Oryzias latipes: one gene and its partners. The main gene of each other region encodes a partner of the protein of the gene in region 2 in a complex. Links are inferred from orthologs where the notes say so. Each region holds a gene or a part of one and is shown on either strand. Other genes may lie near its edges.

Region 1 (7,989 bases), on a different chromosome or scaffold from region 2:
GGGCCGGATTATAAATTCTGTTCATTGAACACATCATGCAGAGATCTGATTGGCTCTCAGTTCTGTCGCTCAGCCTGTTCTCAGGTAGTTTGGACCAATGGGGTTCAGCTATGGGCGAATAAGGGAAATAGGAGGGCTGGAGCGGGAGGGGGGGGGGGGGGAGTTGGGAGGAGTGCTCTCGTGTCGGCGGGAGAGATTCAGGAGTTGATGAACTAATTGTACGGCGTTTGTTGCGGTCTGTAGTAACCAGAATAAAGAACCTTAAAAGAGGTTAAGTCTCAGTGTGGGAAAGGGACACTACAATATTGTATGGCTCTTTCGAAATTACATTGAAAAATATGTGGCGTTTGTGGCTCTCTCGGCCAAAAAGGTTCCCGACCCCTGGACTAAAGGGTTAGTGGGGTTCTTTAAGAACTGCTGGCTTTAGCGTCAAATAGTCTAGCCAGAGACTAAAGGCTCCTGCACGAGGCAGGAAGTAAAATGTTTATGAAAACACACACAGACATTTATCTCATAACGAAGAGCATTAGGTCTGCAAGTGTAAATAGAGAATGTACACATGACCTAGTATAAACACACTACTCCTGTTTTTCTTCCTGCTCCTAAGAGAGGTCCTCAATTAAAACCTGTTTTTAGATTTTTTGGTCACATCATCCTGAATGTTCCTGTCACAAATAAGTAAATTTCAAAAACACTGATGTTAGATAATCTGTGTGATCACTAAACAACCCAAAGGTGCCTAAGGTCCTTTTACTGTCAGGAGGTTGGAAACATTAATTGTAATAGGATTAAAAGCTGTGGACATTTAAGACATCTTATCCAGAAAACCTAATGTTTTTAACTTTTGCTCTTGACTTTTACAGCCTTATTCACAGTGACAGCCCCGACCTTGAACCATGTTCTATGCCAAGCATACCTAAGTATCACCCAACCCAGCACTTGATTATGGCCTGCTGCTGTAGTCTGCTCAATAACCCTGTCCACACACTTTTCTGTGCTCTGTAATTTCATTAAAAGCATTGGAGCAGTTCACTGCATATATCATCTCCCACGACATGAATGCCACCTCTTCCTCATCTCTGCAGAAAAAAAACTTTGATACAACATAATTAAGCATCCCTTCTTTGCACACAACTAGTTTAAGACTTGCTTAAACTGTACTATTATAGTCAATCGTAGCTAATATTCAGCTATTGCATTATACATGGCTTTATTATTTCTTATCAAATAAAAATAATTATTGTGATAAATAAAGGAGCAAAACTGGGACTTGAAAATGTCCTCATTAGCAGCAACAGTGAGAATCAGTCAAATGTCCTTTTTGTATGCAACTATCTTTAAAGCATTTACTAAAAGGTCAAATGGGTTTTATTTGCTTGGCAAGGCTTTATGAAGACTTGTGCATATGTACATTCATGCATATCTATGTGCGACAATTTAAGCCTAAATGCCATAGCCATACATCACACTAAAGTGTCTCTCTCAAGAGCAGAAACCCAATCAACGAGCTTTGCCTTTACGACATCTCGACGCACAGCAGGAACCAAGGATGATTCTCTGCTTGGGTGTTACTTGGCTGTAAATTTGAAATTTCTAATATTTCCCTTTGGTGCCTAGAATACGCGAGCATTACACAGAGGAATGCTCCACAGAGGAGTCACAGTCATGTCTGTTTAATTCACATGTCTTATCTACTCTCTCAAGGGCTTCAACACTTTGGGACAAAGAGATGACGTAAATCTCTGCTCTCTGGGTTCTTGCTGTGCTTTGTTGATAGTCAGAATTGAAGAAAAAAATGGTAAATGTAAATAATAGCGCCGGAATGAAAAAAAAAACATGAGTGTGGGAATACACCTCCAATTAAGCTGCACTTTCTTGTGAAGACTTGCAATATTTTATATTTTTAGTTTCAGAAGTTACTGAATCATTTCTTTCTTTCTTCTTTTTATTTTTTTGGCCACCTTAGATTTATAGTTAGTATGATTGCTGAACCTAACCCGAGAAGTAAAAATAAGGTCTATCTGCAAACTGAGTTCACACAATATTTACAATGTTGACATAGAACTGCTGTAGTATGGTCTTTTGGTATTTAAGGTTTACTTTTAGTGCCATCTAGTGACCAGTCACATTGTTTGACTGTCGCCTCTTGCCTCAATAGTTTCTTTTCATCTTAAAGACCGATGAGGGTTTTATCTAATTCAATATTTACTCCACTTTAAAGATACACTATCAAAATGTTGTATTATTCCTACCTTAAAAAACTCTGTTCTAAGAGAAACTTGATAAAATTTGCAATGTAACTGTGCAAACTGTATACTTTTTTGCAAAAGAAAAAAAAGATAAAGGATACTAAAATGCTGTCGTGAAAAAATAATTTTTTCTTCATGTTTACATGAAGTAAAGTCTTATTTTTTTTTTTTTTTTTTTTTTTTACATGAAGTAAAGTCTTGACAGAACCAATTCAAAGCCCACGCTCGTGGGCGTGGCCTTGCGTGATGACGTTGAGCTTGGAAACGTAAACCGTTCGGCGCAAAAATTCAAACAGAGCAGGAAAGAAGGCTGCGTCTGGCTTTGTTTCCATTAACGAAAAATCTACCATTAAAGCTCCGCACCGGGACAGCGATATTTTTACACGAGTTGGTGGAATCACGTAAGTCTTCTCCTATCAATGTTTGTGTTTTGTCTGTCTGACATTAATGAAGAAGACGCACACACCGAGGCTAAAAGTTTAGCTATTTTGACTGTACAGTTAGCCCATGCTACGTTAGCGTGTACATCGCTTTGCCAAAACACTTCATTCTACTTCTACAAAAGGGGATTTTCAGTGTAACTACAATGTTTTAGTCAAAACTACACGGAAACATCCTTTTGTGCACTCAGTCATTCAACTAAAGAACGATGAAATATTTAATTTATTTGTCAAAAAAACAATTTGACCACGCGAGTATCCCTCTGTTTACATCGTTCTTTCTTGGAGAGGACGTTACTAAACATTTGTAAATACTGTATTCAGTAATATTTTCCTATAATTTTCAAACAGCATAGCTTAAAAAATATTTAGGGAAATGGATCTCTATCTGATTAGGTAAATCTAAATAAAGTTTTTAAAGGTTGACATCCTTTTATTTTGACTTTTCAAAATAAAGTTTGCTGCTTTCCCCCCAAAATAAATGTCAACTATTGTGCAATATGTTTCTTACCATGCAAATCATCACGTCATTTGTAATCTTACATTTATTTTTTCCAATTCCTCGTGTAGTTTTTAACATTCACCAATAAAAAGTAAATCAGTCCAAAAAAAGTATGAAAACAGATCACTAGAGTATTTCTTTTTTCTCTCTTTTAACATTTGCTTTAAAATTCACTTCTCAGTTTTTAACTCATTCCAAACATGTTTTTGTTTGATTAAAAACGTTTTCTGCATCTGTAGCTAAGATGAGTGCAGCCTCCACACCTGCATCCCGAGTGCGTCCAGGATGGCCGTCATCTTCTCTGCAAGGCAAGGGTCTGTCTCCTGCGGCCTGCAGCACCCCGCTGCTGTCAGCCTTTCCAGGCAACGACGATGAGCAGGAGCGGCGCCAGCGCAGGAGGTCAAGGGTCATTGACCTTCAATCCGCCACAGATTCTTCCTTCACTGAGACTGCATCTCACAGGTAAGCTGTTAACTCGTACCTGTGTACATTATCATCCGCCTGAGTGCTGTTAAGGTTTGTTAAATTCGGGATGCTCATATTTTTGTTTTCTAAATCAGTGCTTTCGGGACTCCTGCTGCTGTACCGAAGCTTTCAAATGCTCAAATTTCAGAGCACTATTCAACCTGCATAAAACTTTCTACTGAGAATGTAAGTTTTTGGGTAGTGTTCATATGCAAACACTTAAACTTTATCAGGCATTTTAGGAAGTCAATATCTGATTAATGGAAGCGGTAAAATAAATATCCTTTTTTCTATTTTGTTTGTTTTTTCCCCCAGAAAATCACCACCAAAAATGCTTTTGGTCTGCATTTGATTGATTACATGGCGGATATTTTAAAGCAGAAGGATTCTGAGCTCACTAACTTTAAGGTTTGTGTAATCCAATTACTTTTTTGCCTTTAAAAAGAAATCACCACAGTCTGTCCCTGTACTTAATGTATTAAACATAGACTTGTATCATACAAGAATCATGACATCACTTGTTATTTTTTTACCCATTTAAAGTTAAAGAACAGCCTTTGGTATGATTTTAATGTGGACTCCAGAATATGCCTTCTTGTGCTCCATTATTGACATTTTGTTTTTTGCAAAGGTGGCTGCTGGCACTTTAGATGCCAGTACAAAGATCTATGCTGTGAGGGTGGATGCTGTTCATGCCGATGCATACAGAGTGCTGGGGGGTCTCGGGGGTGAGACCAAACCAGGAGAGGGTGAGATCTGCAGCACACTGTGCTGCATCTAGGCCTGCACAATATACCGCAAATTTATCGTTATCGCAATATCAAGCGGTGCAATATCCATATCGCAAAAATCGCAATAAATGGTTACCTTAAATGTGCTAAAACAATCCTATGGCAGCTTGAAGCATTTAACGGATCAAATAAATCCATTTATGCATTTGACCAATTGGATGGACCCTTTCCGATGTTGACCAATCACATGAGCCCTTTTGTGTGAGATTTTTGCCTCCTACGTCAACGAGGGTCATTTGGAGTATAATTTTTTTAAACCGTTGCAATGAAATAGTAATGATGTTTTTGATTGTTTTGCTCTTTGTTCATATACCGCAAATTATATCGTTATCGCAATATTGATCACTAATGTCGCCTGTTTTGCTCATATCGTGCAGCCCTAGCTGCATCATTTTCCAAATAAATCTTTTTTCACTAAGGTTTTTTTCTTCTTCTAATAAAATTATGGCTAAATGTTTCACTTCTCATTGCTTTTGTCCAAAAATGCAAAGAGTGAGCATTATCTGGTTTTGTCACACCATGAAACTGCAGCTCGTGCTGCAGAAGCAGGGAATGAGGATGACGATGGGGAGGAGGTGACTGCAAAGCAACCAAAGAAGAAAAGGCCTCCGAAGAAGACGGTGGAGCAGAACCTGAACAACATCAACAGTTCTGAATCTGAGAGGAAGTGTGAGGTATGGTGAGACGCCTTCCCTTCCATACCGTTTTCAAATATGTTAGACTTGTTGTTGGCATCAAATATCATCTGGTTGTTACAGAAACAAGTTTTTGTTATGGTTGTCTTTTGAGTTCATCTTTTTCCTGTATAACTCTGTTCTGTTGTTGTACTTCTTAAATAAGATCACCGTTGTTGTTGCACATCCAGGTGGACCCCATGTTTCAGCGGATGGCCTCATCCTTTGATGAGACCAGCACAGCAGGTGTCTTCTTGTCAGTTTTATTCAGCGAGAACAGTCGCTGTGAGCTGCTCTTTCCCTCTCACCTGATTCTGCTGCAGTCCACACCATCATACTCTCCTCCAGCTCCACAGAGCACACCAGCATCCCCGTTCATGGGTAAATCTCATTTTTCAGACGGAAGGATGTGGTGCTTTTATGCCAAATACTAAAATTTGTTTATTTTTCCCTTTATGTTTGCTTTATTTCTACCTGGATGCCAGTTATTGACTCTCTCTTTTTAAAACGTTCATTTTTCTTTTTCATGTTTCTGGCAGCTGGACTGCAACGGTCTCAAGAGAAAAGCTCCATCTGTCCGTCATTACAAGACTTTTCCTTTACCAGTTGGAACCCTGAGCAGGTCAAAATTGTTTATAACCCAAAAATGTATTAATCTAAAACTATTAATCATAATTTTAATTGGGTTATATTATTTAATTGGGTTTAATTATTCCAGTTTTTGTTGTTTTTTATATATTGCCTTAGTATTATTACAGTTAACTGAATTTTTCAGAACAAATGCAGTTTAGCCAGTCTTTTATTTATATTGCTCTCAATAATACAGACAGAACCTTAAGACAATTGTGCAAACACAACTTTCCTCTGATATTCTTGATAGAAATGAAGCTCATGTATGGAGCCTGAACAGGGGTGTCAAACATACGGCCCGCAGGCCTTATCCGGCCCGCCTGGTGGTTTAGTCCGGCCCACACATGAAGAGTAAAAAATCATAAGGATGATTAAAAAAAAGGAAGCAAGTTTTTAGTCCATTCCTGTGGCGAGTTATGATTTTTTTTAAAGAAATAACCGAAATGTGCAATTCCACCACTAGGGGGAGCAAAGGAAAGGAAAAACAGTTGAAACAGCATATCTCTGCACGTGCCAAAAGCGAAACATAACAGCTCTGCGTCTGGGTAGGATGCACCTTGGTTCCCTATGAGCCTTACCGCTGTTATCTTGCTATAAGGATGATCATTAGCGACACCCTAACGACCAAAATGTTGTCAAAGGTGAAGTGGAGTGAAGAGCCTTCCAGGAAAAATGGACAGAGTTTTTTCTTTCTTTCACGAAGCTGAATGCAAACCCCAAATGCTTTATATGTCATCAACATCGCAGTGCTCAAAGAATATGACATTCAGCACCACTAAGGGACTCACCATAAAGAAAAGTTTCTGGATTGCTTCAGTGTCAGATGTAAAATATTCAGTCTATTAATTTAAATAGACCAACTTTTCTTTAATTGAAATTAATTTTATTTGAGATCCAAGTGATTAGGCTACTATGTTGATTGAGGCATTTTTTCCAACTGAGTAAAAAACTAAAACAAAGCTGTTATTTTGCTTTTATGTTACTGGTCCGGCCCACTTGAGATCAGATGGGCTGAATGTGGCCCCCAAACCAAAATGAGTTTGGCACCCCTGTTCTAGACTTTTCACATTTTAGGACAGTATAAAATATACCATGGAAAAAGCTCTGTTAACCTATATTGGTGTTTAAACTCAACATTGCTCTGTTTTGTTAAATTTTTAAATGAATGCTGATGGTAGTTTTTTTTTGTGACTGAGATGATGCTGCTCTGCATGTCACCTTAGAGCTATACAGTAATTTATTAGATGATTGTTTCTGATTTGTAGTCTCCAACCCTCTGAACGTGTTTCCTAGTTTATTTTAGTTTCCTTTGCATTAGCCATCTTCATTTTCTCTTCAAGTTCTTCATTTTTCTCTTAAGTAATTACCAGTCAGCTGTGTTTCTTCTGTTACAAAGCGCTCTCCAATTTACTTAAAATCGGCAATAGAGACAATAACACCCCCCTCCCCCCCCTTTAATTACTTCTCCTCTTTCAGACCATGAATCAGCTGCTGGAAAAGATGAAAGAAGGCGAACACGTGTTTGATGTGAACGCTGATCCTGATCCCGAGCCAGAGGAAGATGAGGGCCTTGAGTTTGATGCCGATTATGAAGAGGGTCAAGTTGACAGTCAAGAAGGGTTAAAGGAATACAAGGAGGGTTGTGAGGCAACTGGCTCTGGAAAAGGAAGGTAAGCTCGTGGACAGGACAGCAGATCAAAGGTGGTTGGATCTCTGCTCACAAGGTTGGGTTGAATGTTGTGTTCTGGCTGGTACAGTGGACTAGTGGTAGAGTGTTTGGCCTGAAACTGGGATGCTGTAAGCTCAGGTCCAAAGTTGGGTCAAAGATTCTGTTTTCTCCCCCAGGGGATAAGCCAAATGAGAACACTTTTCACACGCCCAGGTGTGTGACACCAGATGAAATTTTAAGTTCTGTAGCAATAAAAATTCAATGATTTTTATCTTTTTAAAGCATACAGTCTCTTTTTTTTTTTGGTTAAAACGATTTGATATTGTCCAACAATAAATGGTAAAGACATCATTGGAAATATGACATTCACTTATCTCTTCAAACAAAAATTACAGTATATTTGGGTGAAACACATGAATTTAGCCCCTTTATACTAAAGTAAATCATTTGTTTCAATTACAGATGTCTGTTCTGTACATCATACACATAATGACACCTAAGGAAGTCTCTCCCTATAGGGATTGTCTAGAAATGCTTGTCAGTGTGGACAGTAATAGGGAAAATTTGGG
Region 2 (7,026 bases):
TCCCTTCAGGGTTCACCACGTCAAATCAGCTGTTCCCACCTGACACTGTTAAGTTTTCTTTTCTTTTATTTCATCCACAAATCCCTTTCACTTTTAGGTTTTACTTCCCGATTTTTTTCAGTTAGCCCCATTCTGCGTCATATCTCAGGGCATTTTTTGTAACCTAATATAATAATGAGAAAGCTGACGGAGAAGCTCCAATTTGCCACATCCACAGGGTGTCTTTCACTCATCCACAGTCGTATGCTGCACCCTGTAACGGATCTTAATGCTCTGCAGAACTCTGTTCATGTTTTGTTTCTTTTCTAATGAATAGGAGTCCGTTCTCAAGCCACAAAGAGCTCCCTTTCATTTGCTCAAAGAAGGCAGAACTATCAGAAAAATGTCCTTTGATCACTTCAGTTCGCTTAAAGACTCACTCCGATCATCTTTGGATCTGTTGTAAAAGTGTTCCCAATGCTCTTGTAATCATCATCATACTGGTTTAAGCCAAACTAAAGAAAAAAGCCTGTGTCGTTTTCTAGGACATAGATTCTGCAGAGCAGCAATAGTTTATTAGAAATGTCCATTGTAACAAATATGTACATCGCTTAAGGGGATGTATGAGAATGGAGCAGGGAGCTTGTGGTCCGCCAACGGTATTTTCTACCTAACAAATAAGATCTTTTTCAAACAGCATTTTTTTTTCGTCTGCTGTTTTGTGCTTATATGTTGTCCACCAGGAGAAAAATGTCACAAGAACATGTTAAAAACGGCAAAAACACCATTTACATTTGAGTGGGTCTTTAACATGAGCCAGCTTCCAGAAGCTGCAAGGATCCTTGCTCTGGCACCTGAATTAAAGACGGATAAATAAATGCTGAGAACAAAATAATGTTTGATAGTGCTGCACGACATGAGGAAAACTCGCGATATGCGATATTGGTGATTAATATTGCGATAACGATATAATTTGCGGTATATAAACAAATGGCAAAACAACCAAAAACATCATTTCCATTTCACTGCAACAGTTTAAAAGTTATACTCCAAATGACCCTTGTCGACGTAGGAGGCAAACATCAAACATAAAAGGGCTCATCTGATTGATCAACAACGTAAATGGCTCCTTACGATTGGTTAAATGCATAAAGGGATTTATTTCATTTGTTCACTATTTCAAGCTGCCATGAGATTGTTTTTTAGCACATTTAAGGTAAACATTTATTGCGATTTTCGCCATCTTTTGCGGTATGCATATTGCACAGCTTGATGTTGCGATAACGATAAATTTGCGGTATATTGTGCAGGCCTAATGTTTGATCAATTGCAAAATCTAGTCAACGTTTCCCAAAATGTAGCAAAAATGAAATCTTCCCAGATTTCTGTCCTAGCAGGCTGAACTTGTGCTTCCAGATCAAAGCCGTTTCTTCACACTGAAATCAAATGTGACGGAAAGTTTCTTTCTTTTTTTCTTCTTTAAGAGTTCACCAGGAGGTCGTAGAGGAGTGTTTCTTGCCGACGGTCCGGACTCTCCTGAATGCCCCCGCCACCTCTCCGCTCGCCGAGGTGGACATCAACAACGTGGTGGAGCTTCTGGTTGAACTGACGCGTCCAAGTGCGCTCATCAAACCCTCCAGTAACACAGAGGTAGATGCAGGGACGCCCAATGGAGTCTGCTCAGATGCTAACGGCCCCCACATGTGACTCGTCATGTTTGGTGCCGCGTGTCTTCAGGAGGTCTGCGTCCACGACTACCTGGCGGTGCGCTTGTGTGGCGAGATGCTGAAGGACCCAACCGCCCCTGAGGTTCGCCTTTATGCAAAGACGCTAAGCAACCTGGAGCTGAGCAGAGACAGCACTGTGAGGGAGGACCTGCTGACGCTGCTGCAGCAGCTTGTTCAGGTACACACACCTGTATTTCTATTCATATATTTGAAGGATTCATTATTATTACCTGTAATTAATTATAATCAATTTCCGTAAAAAGCCTCATTTTGAGGTATTTTTGTTGGGGGTGCAACAAATCTCAGTCGATCAATACAGACCATGAATTTCTGCTTCTTTTTTTTTTGGATGCTGGTGTGCCGCGGGATTTTTGTCAGGGTTAAAGTGTGCCGTGGCTCAAAAAAGGTTGAAAAACACTGGATTACATCACATCAGCAATGGATTTTATTTATCACAATTATTTGCAATTATTTAATTGTGATTACTGCAAGACTTTGGGACCCCTAATTTATAGTTTTGGTTTCAAAAGTTGACCCTGACAAAGAATCCAAAGCACATGATCAAACATTCGTGGCTGCAGAAGAAACGTCTGGTGTGGTCGCAACTTTTCTTCTAAATGTCTGAAATAAAAAAGCTTGTTGGGCTACATTTTAGAAACTGTTTTTTTAGGGATTTAACAGCTTTATGTTTTCCAAGCTGGGCTGCACAGTGGTTAGCACTCTGGTTTGAATCCTCACTGGGAGTTTGCATGTTCTCACTCTACATGTGCTGGTTTTCTTCAGGAACTCCAGCTTCCTATCAGAATCCCAAAACATGCTTCATAGATCAAATGCCTATTCTAAATGACCCCTAGATGTGTGTGTGTGTTTGTGTGAGAGAGACCCTGCAACAGACCGGCGTTCTGTTCAGGGTCTATCCCGCCTTTGCCCAACAATAGCTGGGTGGGCTCCAGCAGCCCGTGACAGGTTCTGAAGACAGATGGACGTTTTCCAAACGGACAGTTTGTTCCTCATAACTGACAGCTCTTCAGTTTTCCATTCTTGCAGGACTGGCTGTCGTTTTTGACAGTTTATCGTCATCCTAATCCCACTGTTGCCTCTCCTACCACCATCCTTGTTCACACTCCTCACCGCCTTTGCTGTAACTCTTCCATTTAGCCTCCCTACAAGTTCCAGTTGGCTCAGAGTTAAGCTGCTTCACTGTAACTCCAGCGACCCGACAGGCCCCGAGCTTTGAGTAGAATCTTCCTGTTCACCTTTCAAGCCACGACGTTTCCTCTCAATATCCATGTAAATGCAGAATGGGATTTTTTTTACTTCATGATTGTGAGCTGCATTTTTTATTTTTGTGCTTTCCTCTTGTCGGCTGCATTTCTTAAACTGGTGCGGTGAGTCCTGACAGAGGTGGGCCAGTTTCATGTCTTAAAGCTCTTCCTCCTCTCGCTGTCAGACGGTGAAGGATCGCATTTGCCTGCGTGCTCTGGAGAAGATGATGCATCAGCTGATTGACTCCAAAGAGCAAGCTGAGCTCTTAAGCGCCAGTGCACTGCAACCGCTGGATGTCAACGCAGACGGTGAGAAACTCCTACATAAATCATTTGGGACAAATGGTTGTTTTCTTTAGTCCAAGGTGCAAATCCAGAAATCTGAATTGTCCCTTTCCACAGAAGCAACAACAGACGATCCATCAAAATCTGCCAAGAGAGTCAAAAGAGGTAACATCCTGGACACTCAGCTTTTTGCTGCAGCGTCGTATTTTTAGAGCTCATCTCGTTTACCTGCGTGAAGATGTTGACTCAGTAGGGGGAGGTAACCTGAGCGCGTTTGTCTGCACAGGTCAAAGGAAAGTCTGCACCGCCAAAGGCAGCAGAAAGCAGAGCAGGAAAGCCGAGTCATCAGAAGAGAGGTGGGTTTAGAGGTATTCACCTTCAAAAAAGTGTTTGATTCCCTTCATCCACGCCTGAACTCGCTGCTTTGTTTTTTGCTGCAGCGATGGAGAAAACGTTCCTGAGTCCGTCCCTACAGCACGTCCATCAAGGAGGGCGAAGAGCGCCGCGATGGAGAAGACCAAACTCGACCTCAACCCCCTCCTCAATCAGGAGGCCAATGTGTCATGAAACCCTTTTCAAGCTTTTTCTTTTTTTGGGCAGATAATCTTGTTCCTGTGTTTTCTGCAGCATCTTTTCATAATTTCAGCTCGAGGTTTTATCAACAATAAACTTAATTTTGTCTCCATCTTTTTAGTTTCATGGTGGACTAACAGATGAAACATTTATCAATCACCACTTCCAGAAAAATTTGATCTAGAATGAGCATCAAGAGTCTAGAAAGTGAATTTCAAACAAACTAAATGTATTCTGAAGTCAGCTGTACATGATGCCTAGATTTCAGTTAGAAAGTTGAGGAGGAATCAAATTTCAGTCATAGGTAAATAGAGCGGAACAGCAGTAAATCATTTCAATCAGTTCTCCAATGTGAATTCAAAACATCCGTTCATTTTTATACTTCCCTGTTGGGGTCACATGGTTGCTGGAGCCTATCCCAGCCACTGTGGGGTTAAAATTGAGACACCCTGGATGGTTTGCCAGTCCATCGCAGGGACATAAACCCACATTCATACCGAAGGACAACATAGATTCCATAATCATCCTATGAAGCATGATCTTAGACTGTAGGAGAAAGCCCACACAGGCACAAGGAAAACATGCAAACTCCACACAAAAAAGAACCCAGCTGGGATTTGAATTGATGCTACAACAACCAAGCAACCTGAACTTAAAAAAACGCATAGTTAAAATATTCCAGACATCATACGTTGCAAAGTATTTGTAAGTTATTCAATGGGCTACGAAATAGAAACTGAAATTAATGTTAAATTATGTTTGGAAATATATTTTTAGAGGCAAAAAAACCCACAAACTAGATCCACCAATTTGTATAAGACAAGCACAGAGACTGGTTTGATCCTAATTACAGACCCAATAAAGTTCAAAGAAGTGAAGTGAGAGGCTGGTTTCCTCCTCTTAAATGTCGCACAGGAAATGACACATTTTACTTTAAAAAACACCTTTATTGATCAAGTCACAGAGCTCTTTGCTGCATCTGTAAAGGGTAGTATAAAAATGCTCCAAGAGAATATTACAACAGATGATTAGCACCAGGTTCTTCCAACAAAGGTCAACTGTTAAACGTCTTTCATGATGACATGGCAACCATAATTGATGCACAGAAAGGGACATTCAGGCACAACACTCACTACGGGGGAAGTTTTGACCCACAAGCCAGACATTTGGGATCTATCAGAGCAAAAAAGTAGCATATAGATCCAAGATTAGCGTTGAATTAGTTAAATATCCGGCTTCAGCTACGACACAACTGATAAGCAACAGCAGTGGATCTAACAAAGCCCCAGTACAGGGTATAAAAAAAACAGAACATAAAACTTTAATAATGCGAAAAAAAGAATAATGCTTCAATCAAAATTAGTTTTTTTTTTTTAAGGAAAGAAAAGCGGATGAGAAAACTGATTTTTAAAACAGATTTTTTTTTAAACCCAGAATGACTTCATTACAAAAAAAGAAGTACAGTAACATCCCAGGCCATTGTGTACATCCATTCGTCTGTCAGCAATCAAATCATTTTTTACAAAATGATCAATCATCTGGCTTTCTATTGCACCAAAGAGACGTTTGTGTTACAGAAGGGATCGGTATTGGGGCATGGGATGTGCAAAACATGGGATGGGGTGGGTAGTGGGATTATTAATCTCAAATGGTATAGTGCAAGAGGTCCGTCTGTCTGCAACATACAGTAAATGCTAGGGGTTAACAGGAAATACACCCGACAAATACAACAGAACCTATTTTTCTAAAACCGCAGAAAGCCACTTCATTATTCAACACGCATTTCGAGCATTTTGTGGACTACTGAGACCTAAAAAATGGGGGAACACACTTTTATATTAAATCTTAAATTAAAAACATATATTATTTGGTTTTTAGTTTGGAGTTATGGTTTGTCTGTCATTCACCTCACAGTTAAACAACCGGAGCCTCAACGAGTCCTTCATGAAAAATATCTGGCTCTCTTGTTAGAGATATTAAAGGGCTCAAATTCAAAATTAAAGTAAAGTTTGTGAAACATTTTTTTTAAACAATGAGTTATGTGTAAATTCAGAGAGTGCTTAAGTAAAAGTTATATTAATATAAAAAGTGTACAGTTTAAAGCAGGGCTGACTTAAAGGAGCCAAATTCTGTAAAAGGTCGGTCGGTGGGGGACACACTTAATGCAGTCACGTTTTGTCTTTCCTCACAATCACCTAAAAAAAAAAAAAAAGTCGTTTTCAAATTCTCTTTGATGGAACGAGCTGTAATTGTCTGCACATTCTGAAAGACACAGGTGGGTTTTACCGGAAAAAAAACGACAAAATACAAACACTTCCATGGATAAAAGTAGTGCAACATTAAGCTTTTAAGTTAGACTGCTACATAATGGCTGAGTGTAAGACTGAACCGTAGAGGGTCGGCCAGTCCGTGTGGTCAGCTCAATGTCCAAAGGCACCACGGTAATTAGTCTCAGAAACCGGAGGCCTTCTGCTTTCCCACTTCATTTACTTTCCTGTCGGGATAAACGAAGATAAGTTAATTGTGCAACTCAATTCAAATTCTAAAAATGAGTATTAGGAGAAAGTAGTTACCAAACACAAAGTCGCGCCATTTCAGCCCGGTCAGGCCCCTCATTCGCGATTGTCTTAACGTTTTCGCTGGTGGCAGCTGTGCTAAATCAGTAGACGCATTGTGACTTTTGGGTTTGTCCTTTTGCCGCCCTGCTGGAGCAGAGTCCTTCATCTGGACAGATGTGGGCAAAGGGCTTGATGGCTCTCTGGAGGCAGTCTTCTTCATCGTGTTCCTTTTTCTTTGACTTTTCGAAGCTTTAACAACTCCCCGCAGTTCCCTCTCCTTTCCTGCAAAGAGGTATGCAGAGGGTGACCCATCATCCAGTGTCACAGTGCAGGAGTTCCAGCCCTCCTCGGCGGACTCGTTGTTTGGAGAGTTGATCTTCCTCAAAAACACCCGGCATTCCTTCAGGGTCTCGGGACTCCAGGCTTTGGAACAGAGCTTCTGCTCTTTGCGTTCGCCCAAAGGCTCTAGAGTTTGCTCAACACAACAGGTGGCAGAACCAATCCTAAAACAACCATAAGACCCATCTTTTACTGATCTATGTAATCTTTTGTAATCTGGTTGTAATCCAGACCTTCTCGGACAACTTCTTGCTACCGTTCTGTTCCTCCTCTTGTCACTCCTCTTTAACCATTGCTCCT
Region 3 (8,066 bases), on a different chromosome or scaffold from region 2:
TGTCCAGGATGTCCCCTGTCTTGGCCCACGAGTGGCCAGGATAGGCTCCAGCAGCCACATGACCCAGAAAGGGACAAAGCAGATTTAGAAGATGAATGAGTGAGTGAATGAATGAATGAATGAATGAATGAATGAATGAATGAATGAATGAATGAATGAATGAATGAATGAATGATCTAACAAAAAGAGCATCTAGGAGAGGCAGGGCTCACGAACCAGTAGAACTGGGATTAAAAACAATCTGAATTTCAGAATATCCTTGCAATAAAGTTATTAAGTATTTGAATATCTCATCATCCAGCAAACACAAAATCATTTCTGTAAAAAAGATAAAAATAAGATAATGATTGCTAGATGCCCGGGATCTTTGGGTTCATTGGTCGAATTACAGAACAGGTATGATTCATGAAGGAACAAATGTAAAAACCGATATATAGGAACATATGCTGTCAAAAAATGAAAAGGGAAAACTGTTCACAGCAGTTTGGGTTTCAAAAGCAACATTTTTTCGTGTAGACAAATTATTATTTACACCTGACGAATTCAAATTCAACATCCATAATGATGGAAGCAGCAGAGATTTCTGCAAAAAAAAAAAGTTCACGTCTCTAAAAAAATTATATTTCAGGCAGAGCAACTTTTTCTTCTACCCACAAAACTTCTTTAGCATAAAAAGTCTTGCATCTTTCAGGAACATAATTCTAATCAACATGCAGTTTCGTCATAAAAGCATGGGCACTGAAAAAAAACATTTTTTGGTTTTGGCCAATCATCATTGAAACGCATCTGGCACATTGCGAAACGGCAAATGGAATTTTTATGCAGTGAAGTCCAAGTTTAATATCAGATAAAAATGCATTTTATTTTCATGGATTGAAGTTTAAAAAAAAGAGTCACAGCATGGCTGGTTACTTAAAACTTTTTACTATCCTGCAGTATTTTGTAAAATAAATAAATATATTTAAAAACGGCTGATTGAGTCTTTCACAACTTGATATGGACATACTGTTCATTTGCTTTTTAAGATGCAGAGTGGGTTTTATAAAATACTTGCCATCAGTGCTGGTGAGGACAAAGATTTCAGCTTGGGTTTGTCTCTTCCCACCAACAGTTTTGGGGAACCAGTGCATGTCCAGGGGGTAGATGTCCTCTGACAGCTTGACGACCACATTGGTTTCATTGTTCACCAGGTTCCACTTGAGGATCTGATGATCATCACTGCATGAGTACAGCTCATCGGCTGTGGTCCAACCTAAACAACTTACAAGATCCTTATGTGAGCTGGTGTTAAGAAAAATAATAAAAAAAAGGACAAATATTACAAATTCAGCTGATTGCATGTTTTCTACATAGATACCTAGAATCTGGAGAACCTGCCCCCAACCCCTTTATTTATTTTATTTTTTGTTTGTTTTGTTTTGTCTTCATTTTTTTCAGTAGAAAATGCAAATGACAAGGTTTATCATTGCTGCAGTGGTTCTTATCAGCAGAAATTTATTTTAGTTTGCAGAAATGTAGGACAGAAAATAATTTAAAAACAATCTTAAATTGAAGAACAGCAATAATACTATTAAAACGGGAACGTGAAATGTCACAGTTTTCAAAATATTTTGCCATTCAGCTCAAATCAAAGGCAATAAGTTATAAAACAAGAGGGATCACGATGCAATTAAAGGATATGTTTTGGTTCCTTCTGCAGCGTAGTTTTTAGTCTCATTGTTCTTGTCTCTCTGTTGAATCCTAAACAAACAAAACACACGTATGTCAGTTTTGAATCAACTCTTAAGTCAAGCTTAACATTAGAGGAAAATCCAACAAAGAGAGAAAATGCACCAACACCAAACAAGCGTCTAGTTGCTATGTTACCAGGCAGCCACTGTAGCTAACTAACTAAAATCATTACCTTTTAAAATCGCACGGGGGGCATTCTGATGACCGCACTTCTTTTATGTGCCTCTTATCAATGTGTGAAAGTCATTTGATATAGTTCGAATATTCGATACAAATGAACCAGGTCAAGCAGCGTTGATGAAGAAGCGTTTTGTTTTCATGACGTATGGAAGCTAACTTTTTAGCCATGAAATCTCGGATGAGTGAACGGTTGACAGCCAAGTCATCGCGAGAGTTGTAACAATTTGCAACCTCAGCGTGTACTTATAGAGGGTTTACTTTTTGAGTGACTAATACAAATTCATTCAGAAAATGATCTTTAAAGTAGGCTTGCGTTATTACTGAATAATGTGTTGATGATCTCGGTCACTTCCAAAAAATAATATAAACGTTTCCATGGGGCGGGACTTTATTTTACAGTAACCGAATGATTCGACAGTACTGAAAACACAACTCTTTTCTTAAAAGATATCCTTACTCAAAAAATGAAAATCGTAAGTGATGTCTTTTTATGAAATTGTCATTTATCGCTTTGTTACTGTTGCGCCTTTCTTATCACTGGTGGAGCGAGGCGGAGTTGGCTTCGTCCCCTTTTTTGAATTTTGTGTTTTTTTCACACTACCATTTGAAAGGTCCATGATGCTTTGCGAGAGTTTATAACGAATTTGGTTCGACGGCGCAGTTTAGGCGCCATTTACAAGACAAGTTTTTCGAGAAAGGAAGCGGCTCCGGGTGATACGGCACACGATTTTGTGGACTATTTTAGTGTATTTTTTGCTAGACCTTGGATTAACCTATTCTTCTTGAAAGGTTTGGACTGGATCGAAACAGAAAATCAGCGAAGGACTTTTTTTTCATTTGTGGAAGGTACATGAAGAAAAAATAGAAAAAAAATATTTACTGGGTTCCGTCTATTTGCTGAAATTCATAGCGGTCGTTGAAATTGAGACAAACCTTTAAGTAAGCCACAAATCCAACTATGTTTTAAAATAAAGTAAAAGGAAAAAATATAGCATTGGCAGGACATTGATAGTGTTACTACTACTTATTGACTTTTTTTTAGCGTTTTTTAATAATTGCAACAATAATGGATTCTTAACTTAAGCCCCTATAGCATTACTGTTTATATGTTTATTACAACCTATACCAGTTAAAGGTGGTAATATGTCGGTCTGCTCTGTGATGCTAAGTTTGACATAATGATTAGTTAGCACCCCCCCTCCCCCCTGCTAACCTAACTATTAGCCGAGGGAAAAAAAATCGTAGTAACTTTTAATGCGACATAGTCATCCGGTAACAAAACGATTACGAAAACATTCTTAAATCATGCTGCATGTACTGTAGGTTTGGTTAGTTATTCGAATACATTAACAAATCGCGTTAGATGGCCAACTTCAAATTATCATTCCGCCCTGAACATTAGAATTCAGGGACTGAAAGCTAGTTTGCAAGTTCGACTGTTATCTGTTGAGCTGCGCTTTCAGTAGTGGTCATCATAGAAAACTAGCAATTCAAGGCTCGACACGAATTTCTCTCCCTCTTTTTCTTTCTTTCTTTTTTTTTTTTTCAAATGGGTGACGTAAACTTTATTTTCCTTTTCGTTGTTACCCACCGTTAAACGTTAACGGTTAAGGCCAAAAAGCATTTTTCCAAAGTTTTGTAGTTGGCTAGTTTGTAACATTTTTTTACGGGGATTTGTTTTAAAAGCTAACCTTTTTTTGATCCTAGTAGTGTTAAGATGAATAAAAATCGCTGTAACACACTTTTCCATGTTTTTGTTTTTAGCAACTATTTAAACTTTTGGAAGGAAAAAACAAATAATAAACACAATGGTATATTATTAGGAAGGGCGGCAGTAAGATTTGACTGGTAATGGCAAACTCCTGACACATTAGTTGTGTGTGACTGACCGTAAAGTGGAGTTGAGAGATTGACAGACACAAAAACCACTCATGTGTCCCCCCCCCCCCCCCCATTTATTTTTTTATTTTTTTACCAATGACCCCTTTAGATTTCAAATCATGCCATCCAAAACCGCAAAGAGCTCAACCGCCTCTACCAAGCCAAGAGGAAAAGGGTCGCAGGATGTGTCTGAGGGTGATCTGGATGTACCCCCTCAAGAAACTAACTCCAATGGCCAAGAGGAGGCACCACCGACAACTGGCAAGTAACAAAGGCTGTTTTGGTGTCTGTGAATCTAAATAAGTTGTTCAGTCAATGGCTCTGCGTGTATTGCAGTATTGCTAGAGGCCAACTGGCACAGCTGTAAAGCTCCTTCCCCTCCTCTATCTTAAATTGAAAAGAGTAGCTGGGATGGCTGAGACGTTTTCTAAAGTGCAACATAGAAATGAAATCACTCCAGGATGATTTTCATATCGTCGAATGCATTTCTTCGCCCGATCTTGACGGCAAACGAGGTAATTTGCTTCGAAATGGTGTGTTTTTGTTGTGACGTAAAAACGGGATTTGTATTCATCATGCCTGCAACTTTTTTTTTTTTTTTTTGAACAGCGCGTGTGCTGCTCTCAAGATGCAATTGTTGAAGTTCATTGGTACATGAATCTGTTTAATAATTTTTTTTCCGCTAAATGTCTAGCTGCTATACTTTATTTTTGAAACACCGTCAATTCTTTTGTATATATGAGAACACAAAAGATTTTGAACCGATTCTTGAAGATCGTTGTAGATCTTCATGCAGAAAAGTTTTTCCTGTCTGTATTTCATTTAGCTGGGTGTAGTAACGACGTCGCTGATATAAACGCACTTCATTTATCCTGGAGGTGTCCGTGGCGCATCAAACCGGAGAGAGACTGCGTTTGTGAGCACTGATGTGTGCTCGTTCATGTCCGATCCGAGGCTTGACTCTTGCTTTCTGAACAAAGGGGGAAAAAAACGACGCCTGTCAACTTTCCCCGGAGTCGCTTGTCTGTCTGTGCGACTTGCCGACTGTGTTTTTGTTTGTTTGTTTTTGTTCTCCCCCCACCCCTCCCCCATGGGCCACTGTCCCGTCCCTATTACCCCCCCCCCCCCCCCACTCCCCACCTGAAGCGATTCGCACAGAAAAACTGAAAAGTGCCCTTTTCTGTGCCACAGATTCGGCAGAAGGGGAGGCTGCCGAGGCGGTCGATAATCGAAGTTTGGAGGAGATTCTCGGTAGCATCCCTCCACCCCCGCCCCCAGCAATGACCAATGAGCCGGGCGCTCCCCGCCTGATGATAACACATTTAGTGAACCGCAACTTTAAGTCGTACGCAGGCGAGCAGATTCTGGGGCCTTTTCACAAGGTACGACCAAAACTTGATTCTAATCTACCATGTGTCCTGAATATATTTAACTATGTACTTAGATTACATTTAGTGCAGTGACGTGCGGTGAGGTTAATGGCTGGTGAGGCACTGACGTCATCAGTCAGATTTACAAACATATGAACCATACTGATTAATTTATTCTCCATTTGATTGACAACAGTTAAGGTGTTTTGTTTAAAATATCATTTCAACATGTTTTTTTTCATATACAAAACGCAGCATAGAAAAAAGCACAAACATTATTATCGTCTTACCTTTACTTGTAACTAAAGTCCATACGCCGCTCTTTCGGAAGAAAATGACTTGCCGCTTGCTATCACTTATTCTATTATTTTTTTAGCGTCATAATCTCAAGGCTCACCGGCGCCCCCTAACGTGAGGCACGGGAACTTCTGGCCTCACCCAGCGGCTTTTTCGCCGGCGTTTAGCGCTCAGCACAAGAAACACGTCCCTCACATACAGTTATTTATAAAAACAAACACTGTACATCATATACATCTGCTAAATTATGCAAACTCAGCTCATACAGTACAAGTGATTGAACCGACATACAGAGAGACAGCAGTACCGTCTGACTGCATAGGTATTGCGCAATCCAAGGTGAGGCTCAGCGGGCTGGTGCCTCATCGCACGTCACTTCTTAGTATCTGAACGGCAAATGCGGAAATTCAGCGATTTTGAAAAGAAAAAACACCCAAAATTGGTACATTTAAATGGAAAATGACTGCAAAGCACAAATTACTGATTAAATATAATAGTTGAATTTATTTTTTCTCTTTTCTTCCCATGACAGGTGAGGCACAGCCTCACCTGCCTCTCCTGACTGCACGTCACTGATTTAGTGTAACTGTTACTATCCAAGTCTTATTCATTTGATACTATTTTTTTTCTTGTCTGAAATCTTAGGTCACCTTTCTAATAAATGTGTCTTATTGAAATCTATAAAAAAATAAGATTATTAGTAAAAATGTTTAGAGAGAAAAATCCTTAAAAAAAGAGGAAGAAGTCACACTCCTCCATTTTGATTTAGTGTTTCTCTCAGTTTCTGAAAATCTACTGGTGTAATCACATTTAATGAAACTTTTTAAATGTTTTTTTCTTTAAAAAAAATCTTTTTCAGTCGCCTCATGTCCATGCAAGTTTCATATTGCTAAATTTAAGTGTTTAAATCTATATTAGACTTGTGTGTGGTGTCATCGCTGTTACTGACAGCTGTTGTTGAATCTTAATCTCTTGTATGTTTCATATGGATGATGCATTCATTTTTATTTATTTATTTTTGTCTCCTAATTTCTTCCCAGCGCTTTTCCTGCATCATTGGTCCAAATGGAAGCGGCAAGTCTAATGTGATAGACTCCATGCTCTTTGTGTTTGGATACAGAGCTCAAAAGATAAGATCAAAAAAGCTTTCAGTGTTGATTCACAGCTCTGATAAACACAAAGATGTGCAAAGCTGTACTGTGGAGGTGCATTTTCAAAAGATCATTGATAAGGTATACAGATATTTATAAACACTTTTTTTTTTTACACACAAATACAAACTTCACTAAAATGATCAGTTTGTTGTTCAAACAAACAAAAAAAAAATCACCAGAAATATTTTAGTTGGGCAAAAATGAATTTTTAAAATGTATTTGTTCTTTGTCGTTTCTAATGCAGTAATATTGCTGCTCAATTCTTCTTCTAGTGACCAAGTGTAAACTTAAATCAGTTGTGAAAGTTACTGGAACTCCCACACGTGCCACATTTGAGTCATTTTGCCCTAAAATTGATCTGATGGCAATGAAGGGAAAGAGATAAACAAATGCATTTATTGCCTCTGCTTTTTTTCATGGTGGCAAAAAAAAAAAAAAAGCAGTAGTGTTTGCTTTAGGTAGGATGTAATAACAGGCTGCTGTAACCACCAACTGTGAGCTACATTTTCCCCCCAATTAGAAAATTTTTTATAAATTAAATTAGCCATAGGGACTGTGAATTTGATCACACTGCTGAAGCTAAAATGTTGTGTATTTTTTAATAAACATTGATTTGTCTTAAAATTGGCACAAACTGAGAAATCTGTCAGTTTTGTATTTACAATCATTCCTTAAAACTACAGGGTTTTTTCTTTCAGCGATGTGCACACGGCCTTAAATAAATAGCCTTTTTTCTTCTTTCAACTAAACATTTTTACCCAATCCGTTTATCTTTTGTAGTTACAAGTTTAGGAAGCTTACGATGCAATACACTCCAATACACATTTAGTGTTTTATCTTATCCTTTGCCTTTATAGATGTAGTGCATTCTCATAAACAATATTTTATGTGTGTGTTTTTCTATGTAGGCCTTGTTAATAAGTGAATCTGTCAGTGTTGGAACAGTTTGACGTGTTGGGCTGTTTCAGCCTCTCCTGAACTGTTCTGTTCTAAGCTGCTGTGTCTTCTGCCCCTCCCCCCCCCCCGAGCCAGGAAGGAGATGACTACGAAGTCATCCCCAACAGCAAATTCTACGTTTCCAGGACTGCCAACAAAGACGGTTCCTCAGCCTACCATATCAATGGCAAGAAAGCCACATTTAAAGAAGTGGGGGCATTACTACGAAGTCACGGTATTGACCTCGACCACAACAGGTTTCTGATTTTACAGGTAATTATTTAGTGTTTTTCTTGTATTCTTTCCTTTTTTCCTCTTATCCTGCAAGTCCAAAAAACTTTATTTTTTTTTGAATAATCATGCCATTCTGTCATTTATCTTTTTTTATTATTATTTTTTTATTTTTTTTAGTGCAATTCTCAGGTTCTTTTTTGCTTAAATGTTTCTCATGTACCTGTAGGCCATGTCTGGAAATGTCATGGAATATGCTGTGGTGTCATAGAAAAGAACTGGGGAG

What was found.
Region 1: the proteins of ncapg (region 2) and ncaph are in contact, whole or in part, in a crystal structure (PDB 6IGX), measured with the Homo sapiens proteins. The link is inferred for Oryzias latipes from reciprocal best matches to the Homo sapiens genes NCAPG and NCAPH. Residues at the interface, in NP_071741.2 of Homo sapiens: Lys11, Phe14, Arg15, Gln18, His50, Tyr51, Lys53, Tyr54, Val55, Met56, Val57, Glu62, Ala64, Val65, Val68, Phe102, Ser106, Glu108, Ala109, Asn110, Ser111, Val114, Arg115, Ile149, Arg150, Lys152, Asp153, Lys154, Arg159, Glu188; in NP_056156.2 of Homo sapiens: Glu471, Ile472, Asp473, Phe474, Glu475, Asp476, Asp477, Ile478, Phe480, Val482, Tyr483, Phe484, Arg485, Lys486, Thr487, Ala489, Ala490, Thr491, Ile492, Leu493, Gln501, Asn502, Trp503, Ala505, Thr506, Thr507, Leu508, Phe512, Tyr514, Val516.
Region 3: ncapg (region 2) and smc4 share a complex: the UniProt entries of both Homo sapiens proteins name them as parts of the condensin complex. The link is inferred for Oryzias latipes from reciprocal best matches to the Homo sapiens genes NCAPG and SMC4.

The regions. Positions count from the first base shown.
Region 1 is NC_019867.2:25,819,007-25,826,995, reverse strand, and holds the start of ncaph (condensin complex subunit 2), read left to right. Parts: upstream 1-2,501; 5' UTR 2,502-2,650; intron 2,651-3,430; 5' UTR 3,431-3,435; coding exon 3,436-3,653; intron 3,654-3,751; coding exon 3,752-3,842; intron 3,843-3,971; coding exon 3,972-4,064; intron 4,065-4,287; coding exon 4,288-4,405; intron 4,406-4,978; coding exon 4,979-5,121; intron 5,122-5,312; coding exon 5,313-5,502; intron 5,503-5,660; coding exon 5,661-5,743; intron 5,744-7,227; coding exon 7,228-7,421; intron 7,422-7,989. UniProt on the Homo sapiens protein: Regulatory subunit of the condensin complex, a complex required for conversion of interphase chromatin into mitotic-like condense chromosomes.
Region 2 is NC_019859.2:13,388,441-13,395,466, reverse strand, and holds the end of ncapg (condensin complex subunit 3), read left to right. Parts: intron 1-1,463; coding exon 1,464-1,629; intron 1,630-1,716; coding exon 1,717-1,884; intron 1,885-3,156; coding exon 3,157-3,280; intron 3,281-3,373; coding exon 3,374-3,421; intron 3,422-3,542; coding exon 3,543-3,612; intron 3,613-3,696; coding exon 3,697-3,823; 3' UTR 3,824-3,941; downstream 3,942-7,026. Other genes in the region: lcorl (ligand-dependent nuclear receptor corepressor-like protein), read right to left, coding at 6,316-6,323, 6,403-7,026. UniProt on the Homo sapiens protein: Regulatory subunit of the condensin complex, a complex required for conversion of interphase chromatin into mitotic-like condense chromosomes.
Region 3 is NC_019871.2:13,488,802-13,496,867, forward strand, and holds the start of smc4 (structural maintenance of chromosomes protein 4), read left to right. Parts: upstream 1-2,578; 5' UTR 2,579-2,622; intron 2,623-2,700; 5' UTR 2,701-2,757; intron 2,758-3,901; 5' UTR 3,902-3,911; coding exon 3,912-4,053; intron 4,054-4,074; exon of another isoform or gene 4,075-4,237; coding exon of another isoform or gene 4,238-4,307; intron 4,308-4,983; coding exon 4,984-5,174; intron 5,175-6,499; coding exon 6,500-6,691; intron 6,692-7,645; coding exon 7,646-7,822; intron 7,823-8,066. Other genes in the region: ift80 (intraflagellar transport protein 80 homolog), read right to left, coding at 1,055-1,276, 1,681-1,717. UniProt on the Homo sapiens protein: Central component of the condensin complex, a complex required for conversion of interphase chromatin into mitotic-like condense chromosomes.